Linked DNA regions of Canis lupus familiaris. The protein of the gene in region 2 interacts with the protein of the main gene of each other region in a biochemical or structural test. Links are inferred from orthologs where the notes say so. Each region holds a gene or a part of one and is shown on either strand. Other genes may lie near its edges.

The links.
Region 1: the proteins of GAB1 (region 2) and GRAP2 form a complex in vitro, tested with the Homo sapiens proteins (2 studies listed by BioGRID and IntAct, with this or other methods). The link is inferred for Canis lupus familiaris from reciprocal best matches to the Homo sapiens genes GAB1 and GRAP2.

The regions. Positions count from the first base shown.
Region 1 is NC_049231.1:26,125,560-26,129,059, forward strand, and holds part of GRAP2 (GRB2-related adapter protein 2), read right to left. Parts: intron 2,504-3,500; coding exon 2,384-2,503; intron 1-2,383. UniProt on the Homo sapiens protein: Interacts with SLP-76 to regulate NF-AT activation. Binds to tyrosine-phosphorylated shc.
Region 2 is NC_049240.1:839,956-844,122, forward strand, and holds the start of GAB1 (GRB2-associated-binding protein 1), read right to left. Parts: upstream 2,801-4,167; 5' UTR 2,755-2,800; coding exon 2,683-2,754; intron 1-2,682. UniProt on the Homo sapiens protein: Adapter protein that plays a role in intracellular signaling cascades triggered by activated receptor-type kinases. Plays a role in FGFR1 signaling. Probably involved in signaling by the epidermal growth factor receptor (EGFR) and the insulin receptor (INSR).

The sequences.
Region 1 (3,500 bases), on a different chromosome or scaffold from region 2:
GCTTTCTTCATTCTAACAACACATGGTTTAATTCCTAGTCATTACTCCTCACATCTGTGTGTGGAGGAGGAAATATTCTTGTGATATAATTATTCATCCACCACCTCTTAGTCAAAGAACTCAGAGTGAGAAACATTAACCCTCTCTCTCTCTCATGAACTGAGAGGCTGGATGTCAGGTTTGCAGCCAGTCACCTGGGCCTGTGGAAAGAGCTGGGCTCTCTCATCTGGGCTGCACCACTGTCTCAAGTTCCAAGAGGAGCAGAGAAAAGGATATAACTCAGGGCTTCAGACTCTAAAGTCTAGTGTTTCAGACCCTTAACAAATGCTAAATGTTAGAACTACAATTAGCTCTTAATTATCTTTGCATGACAGAAAGCAGATGTATAAATAAATAAAAATGATTTGCTTTGGAATATATTAGTCTACGTTTCTGCAAGAGACGTAGTAATGATTATGGTAATAATCACAAGAAGCTGCAATGCCTCAACAGCAGGGAGAGACTGTGGCAGAAGTCAAGGCTGACCCTTTTGGAGAATTCACCATCATGGAGGAAATATAAACCATAATTCCTAGTTGAAAAGCCAGAGTGCACTTCATGCAAACCAAAGGCACCAAGGAATGCCCTTCAATGTAGCCATTTACCTAGTCCAATCTGTAACCAGGGCCCTTAAGAAAGAGGTTTGACTATAAAATTTATTAAATAGAGCAAAGTTGCATTAAGACCTAACAAATTTAGAATTTGTGATCCATCACTATTGGCCTGACCTAAAATTTCCTATTGCCTAACCTATGAAAAAAAAACAAGTTTTAGTTAAGGAAAATTAAGATTTTAAGCAAGATTGCAAGGACAATGCTAATGAGACCAAGCTACTTTTGAGCGCTTTAGAGGCGCAGGTGCATACAAATGGTTGACCCCTATTTGTAAGTCCTTCCTACCTATTCCTTAAAATACCCATTCTTCCAGGCAGCCCAGGTGGCTCAGTGGTTTAGCGCCACCTTCAGCCCAGGGTGTGATCCTGGAGACCTGGCATCAAGTCCCATGTTAGGCTCCCTGCATGGAGCCTGCTTCTTTTCCCTCTGCCTGTTCTCTGCCTCTCTCTGTGTGTTTCTCATGAATAAATAAATAAAATCTTTAAAAAAAAGTACTCATTCTTTCTTTTTTTTTAAGATTTTATTTATTTATACATGTTAGACACAGAGAGAAAGAGGCAAAGACCTAGGCAGAGGGAGAAGCAGACTCCATGCAGGGAGCCCAATGCAAAAATACCCATTCTTTCTAAATAGTAAAGTGGCCTCTCAGTTATTACGCAAGATTGGATTTATGAACTTAAAGCACTAAAGCTGCATGCCTTTCAAAATGTATTGAATGATCCAGACCAATATTTCCTGTCAATGAACCGACAGTAGGCTCCACTGTACAGGTTTCCACGGCTCCTCATGTGCAGGTATCAGCGTTAATTTGCACACTTTCACATGTGGTCACCATGCCTGGTATGTGACTTGCAATCCCAGACGTGCTGACCACACACAGTGCACTCAGACTTGGGGTTTCTGAGCGTGGGGCTGTGTCATGCTTGTGTCTGGACTGACTCACTTCCTCCTGGGTGCTTCACATTAATGAGATTTTGCTGCTACGGTCCCTCACCTCAACCCCCTCGGCTCTGATCTGTTGCTGTCAGTTTGCTGCATTACAGTGCACGGAGCTGGCCCTTCTTTTTGTGCAACCACAAATGACTTGTGACTACAGCAATGACTTGAGATTTTAATTTTCCTCTGAGCCTTCTTCAGATATGTATCAGTAGTAGAAGAAGAAGTTCAGATTTAAACCCTAAGACAGATGTGGACAATTGAGGATTCTCCATTCCTTCTCTTGTCCTACTTCTTTGCACAAATACTCATCGAATGCCCACTGGGTATAAGGTGCTGTTAAAGGCACAAAGATGAAATAGATTAAGATCCTGTCCTTCCAGGGGCACCTGGGTGGCTCAGTGGTTGAGCATCTGCCTTCTGCTCAAGGCATGATCCTGGGGTCCTGGGATCGAGTCCCACATGGGGCTCCCCACAGGGAGCCTGCTTCTCCCTCTGCCTGTGTCTCTGCCTCTCTGTCTCTCATGAATAAATAAATAGTATCTTAAAAAAAAAAAAAAAAGATCCTGTCCTTCCAGAAGCACTTAGGCTAGAGGGGGAGGCAGATGGACATATACATAACTTGGCCACAAGCCAGCGTACTGAGGAGGTATATACATGGGTCACAGGAAGGAGATGAATTGCTTCCAGCTGATAAGATGCCTGGGCCCCTTGGCCGCCATGCTTCTGAGCAATAGGTCACATTCAAGGGGTCACCTCATGGCTTTAGCAGTCTGAGCCGGGAATGATCGTACCTGACGGAGATGGAGAAATCCCCTGGAGAGCTCTGGCTGGCCCGGATGATGAAGAAACCAACCTCCTTGCCCATAAGTAAGTTCTCAGCCTGGTGTCGCGAGAGGCCTTCATGAAACCATCTATTGGATGAGATAAAACCAGAGAGTCTTGGTGAGATGCCAGAGTGATGGGAAGGGGAAGGGGAAGGGGAAGGGGAAGAGGAAGGGGAAGGGGAGAAGAAACGACCCAAAGGGAAAGAGGGACTTTGGTCAGTAGAGAACAGGAAGAGACAAAGGAGGGGGCTGGGGCCTCTGAACCAAACATGCTCTAGGCAGTTTTCAGACAAGGCAAGTGAGCGTTCCCCTGACGCACCCACTTTGTTCCTTCCCTCCAGGAGAAGTCTTTCTTGCAGTTGGAAAACCTGAATCATGGAAATGTGCCACTGCACCAAAATGGGACAGTGTGGGAGTGACTCACTGCGGGAAGTGGCCGCCTGCTGGCAGCTATGTGAGGGATGTCACTAGGAAAGAACTGCAGGGACAGATGATGTGCCAGGAAGACAGGAACCCCTTCAGGCACTGGGGGACCAGAGCTGGGAAGCCTTGGGCTCACACCCAGGCTGGGAGATCAGTGGGCCCCCTTAATGCCCAGAGGTGCTTGTGATCTGGGTGGTGTGGAGCCAGGCTAGCAGCAGCAGAGAGCAGCGTCAACACAGCCAGCTCCCAGGACCCCCCTCAATATCCAGGCAAATAATCCTTACTGTGGAAAAGAAGAAACAGAGGAGAGATTCTTCTTTCAGGGGAGCCGTCAGGGTGGCAGTGTCTGGAAGTGTTGTGGCAGGTGGCATAGCATACATGCAAAAGGTCAAGTACAATCACAGGAGCAAGGCAAACAGTGGTTACAGCCTCAGGGCAGGAGGCCAGAAACCTCTCAACCACAGAAGAGCAAAATGAGTGTTTGCAATCACTCAGCAGCCCTAAGTGGGATGGGTCCCATTTCTCCAAGGTGGCTCTCCTATTGCTGCCACAGGAAGGCTAGTATGTCCAATCCCTTGAAGGTGAATGTCTGACGCACTTTGGATTCCTTTGTGAGCAATATCCTGTGCTCTCTAGAATTTAGGAACCTGGACAGGAGTGG
Region 2 (4,167 bases):
GCAGATGTAGTACCTATCTCATAAACCTGTTGTAATGATTGAATGAAATAATACACATTCCTTTATTTGGGACTTTTCATTTTCTTGGTCCTTGCTAAGACCATCTTTTTTTGCTGATTCTCGTCCTCGGTTATACCACATTAACTTGTGAGCCCAAGAGCCAGGCTTCTCTCCTACGGGTATTTTCTGATCTTAGGGGGTCTAGGCTAGTGCTAGGTATCTTTTGAGAGACCCAACCAACCATGTAAAAGAATCCATCACGCCCCTATAACCACCACCTGTGTTGCAAACGTACCGTCCTGCAGTTTCTTTTTTTTTTTTTTTAATTTTTTTTAAACTTTTATTTATTTATGATAGGCACACAGTGAGAGAGAGAGAGAAGCAGAGACACAGGCAGAGGGAGAAGCAGGCTCCATGCACCGGGAGCCCGACGTGGGATTCGATCCCGGGTCTCCAGGATCGCGCCCTGGGCCAAAGGCAGGCGCCAAACCGCTGCGCCACCCAGGGATCCCCCGTCCTGCAGTTTCTTCCGAGGACCTACCGAGGTCTACGGGATTCCGGGGCTGCGCCTCTGAAAACAAATAGCCTGTCTCCCTCCGTCCTCTCCTCTCACACACACAACATTCTTTATAGAAGAACTAAATAAACCACTGTCTCCCAGAAATGTTGAAATAAAGTTAGTTAGCGTCTTTACCAGAACGTTCAGGAAGCTGTGAGAAGAGACAGGATTTGAAAGGAGTCAAGATTTCTGGAGAAGTCTTTCTAGGATGTGCGGCATCAAGTTCTTGAATGAGAATTACGTGAGCAACAGATGCTGGCAGAGGGTGCACCAGGACTCACCGCTGAGTCCGCGCGGTTAAACATGCCCTTCACTATCCAAGGGGTGACTCACAAAATCAACTTGGATTCTACCACTGGGTGTAGATCCCCTCGGACGAGAGGCCAGTTTCACTGGAGGCGCGGGCCCCCAGGAGTAAATCTGTATCTAAGGAGGCATACATTCGCTTTTGAAAACACTTTTCACTAAAACACCATTGGCTCCATATGCCGGGACAAATGTGCCATTTCTCCTTTGCAGAGGGCAAGGCCAAAGAGTCAGCGGGTGAGCGGGGCGGGGGAAGGTTCTGGGCCCCGAGGAGGGCGGCAGCGGGGACCCCGGGGGGGGGGGGGGGGAGGTTCTGGGCCCCGAGGAGGGCGCAGCGGGGACCCCGGGGGGGGGGGGCGGGGGAGGTTCTGGGCCCCGAGGAGGGCGCAGCGGGGACCCCGGGGGGCGGGGGAAGGTTCTGGGCCCCGAGGAGGGCGCAGCGGGGACCCCGGGGGGGGGGCGGGGGAGGTTCTGGGCCCCGAGGAGGGCGCAGCGGGGACCCCGGGGGGGGGGGCGGGGGAGGTTCTGGGCCCCGAGGAGGGCGCAGCGGGGACCCCGGGGGGCGGGGGAAGGTTCTGGGCCCCGAGGAGGGCGCAGCGGGGACCCCGGGGGGGGGGGCGGGGGAGGTTCTGGGCCCCAGGAGGGCGCAGCGGGGACCCCGGGGGGGGGCGGGGATGGTTCTGGGCCCCGAGGAGGGCGCAGCGGGGACCCCGGGGGAGGCGGGGGAGGTTCTGGGCCCCGAGGAGGGCGCAGCGGGGACCCCGGGGGGGGGCGGGGATGGTTCTGGGCCCCGAGGAGGGCGCAGCGGGGACCCCGGGGGGCGGGGGAAGGTTCTGGGCCCCGAGGAGGGCGCAGCGGGGACCCCGGGGGGGGCGGGGGAGGTTCTGGGCCCCGAGGAGGGCGCAGCGGGGACCCCGGGGGGGGCGGGGGAGGTTCTGGGCCCCGAGGAGGGCGGCAGCGGGGACCCCGGGGGGCGGGGGAAGGTTCTGGGCCCCGAGGAGGGCGCAGCGGGGACCCCGGGGGGGGCGGGGGAGGTTCTGGGCCCCGAGGAGGGCGCAGCGGGGACCCCGGGGGGGGCGGGGGAGGTTCTGGGCCCCGAGGAGGGCGCAGCGGGGACCCCGGGGGGGGCGGGGGAGGTTCTGGGCCCCGAGGAGGGCGGCAGCGGGGACCCCGGGGGGGGCGGGGGAGGTTCTGGGCCCCGAGGAGGGCGCAGCGGGGACCCCGGGGGGGGGCAGGTTCTGGGCCCCGAGGAGGGCGCGGGTGGCAAGGCTGGTTCTTTCCAGGAATGCTCTCGGAGCAGCTAAACAGCGCAGCGCCTCCTCCGCAGGTTGTGTCGGTGCCGCCGCCGCCGCGTCGGGATCCCGGCGGCCCGGGCGAGGCCGTCCAAGGCGGAGACCCCGCGGCCTCGGCTGCCCCCCCGCCCCGCCCCGCCCCGCCCCGCCCCGCCGGAGAGCGCGCCCGAGGCGCCCAAACGCCCGCAGCCCGGCCCCCCGACGGCCCTGGAGGCGGACCCCAGGCGCCCGGCCGCCCCTCGTCCCCGGTCCCCTCCGCCCCCCCCGGCCCGAAGGCCGCCGCCCTCGTCCCCCGCGGGTCCGCGACGCCGGTTCCTCGGCCGTCCCGGCGCGGCCGTCCGAGCTCCGCGGGCCTGGGCTGCGGTCCGGGCGGGGGGCAGAGGGCGGGGGCGCCCCCTCGGCTGTGCCCCCAGGGGGTGGGGGCGGCGGCAGGTCGGGGGTCCGGGCGCCCCGGGGCGCTGGGCTGCGGGCGGGGGCGGGGCGGGGCGGGGCGGGGGGCCCGGGCGGCGCGGCCGCTGCACTTACGTAGCGCTTCAGCTTCTTCTCCGGCGGGGACTTGCGGAGCCAGCCCGAGCAGACCACCTCGCCGCCGCTCATGGTGCGCGCCGCCCGCAGGACCTCGGCGGCCCCAGGCGGCGGGGCGGGCGGGCGGGGCGCGTGCGGGGCCGGGGCCGGGGCCGGGGCCGGGGCCGGGGCTGCGGGGCCTCGTCAGCGCGCCCGTCCCGCCGGCGCCCGGAGCGCTCCTGCCCGCGGACCCGGGCTCTGCCGCGCGCGCTCCGCCCCCGGAACGGGCCTCCCCGGGCGCCGGCCCAGGACGACGCCGCCCGCGCTCCCCCGCGCCCGCGGCCCGGCCCCGGCGGCGCCCCCCGGCTCGGCCCCCGGCTCGGCTGCGCCCGGCGTCGGGAGGCGGAGGCCCGGGGCGGCGGGGGCGGCGGGGGCGGCGGGGGCGGCGGGCAGGTCCGGGGGCGGCGGGGGCGGCGGGGGCGGCGGGCGGGCGCGGGGCAGGGTCCGGCGCGTCGCGCTCTCGGGGGCTGCCGTCCGCGGCCCGGGCGCTGCAGACTTTCTGAGAAACTCCGCCGCCGCACTCGCGGCCACAACAAGGGCCGGGGGCGGAGGGGGCGGAGGGAGCGGCGGGGCGGGCGGGGGGCGGCGTCCGAGAGGCACCCTGGGAGGTGTAGTCCGGGCGGCCGCGCGGGCCCTGGGCGGCGGGGGCGGCGGCCCGACTGCGCGGCGCGGCGGCAGCGGCACTTCCAGCCCGCGGGGAGGCCGCCCGGACTCCGGGGGCGCCCTCCTCGCCAGCCTCGGGGCGGCGCGGCCCGCGGGGAGGCCGAGCCCGGGGCGGGGGGGGCGGGGCGGGGCGGGATGCTGGGGCGGGCCCGGGTGGGGGGGCCGGCGGGGGGAGGGGCGGCCTCGCGGCTGCGGGGCGGGCGGGCGCGGGGGGCTGAGGGCCGAGCCCGGGGTCGAGGGGCAGGCCCGCGTGGGCGAGGGCGGCGCTTCGGCGCTTCGGCGCTTCGGCCCGGCCCCCCGCCCCGGCGCCCTCCCCCCGCGGGGCGGCTGCTCGCGGACCCCCGGAGCGCGGTGTCGGCCCCGAGGCTCTGCCCGCGCGCGCCGGGGGGGGGGGGGGGGGGGGCGGCACCCGGTCCGCAGCCCCGCGCTGCCCTGTCGTGGAAACGCTCTTTCCCGTTTGTTTCTGGAAAACCAAGGCCCAGGACAATCCTCACAAGGTAACAGAATCAGGGAAAGTCTGAAAGCGTCGGCGGGGAGCTGCCGGGCCGCTTGTGGCCCGCGCAGCCTTCGCCTCCCGGCGGCCCCGGGACCCGACCGCGACCGCGACCCCCCGACCCGAACGCGAGGGCCCGCCGAGCGCCCGCGGCCGCGACGCTGTGCCCGAGGGAAGCACGCGGGAGGCGGAGAGCGCCCGGGTCGCGGGGTCCCGGAGGCGCTGGGGACGCCGCGCGGGCCTGGGGGACAGCCTGGGCCAGGGCAGACGGAACCAGCGACCGGCGGGAC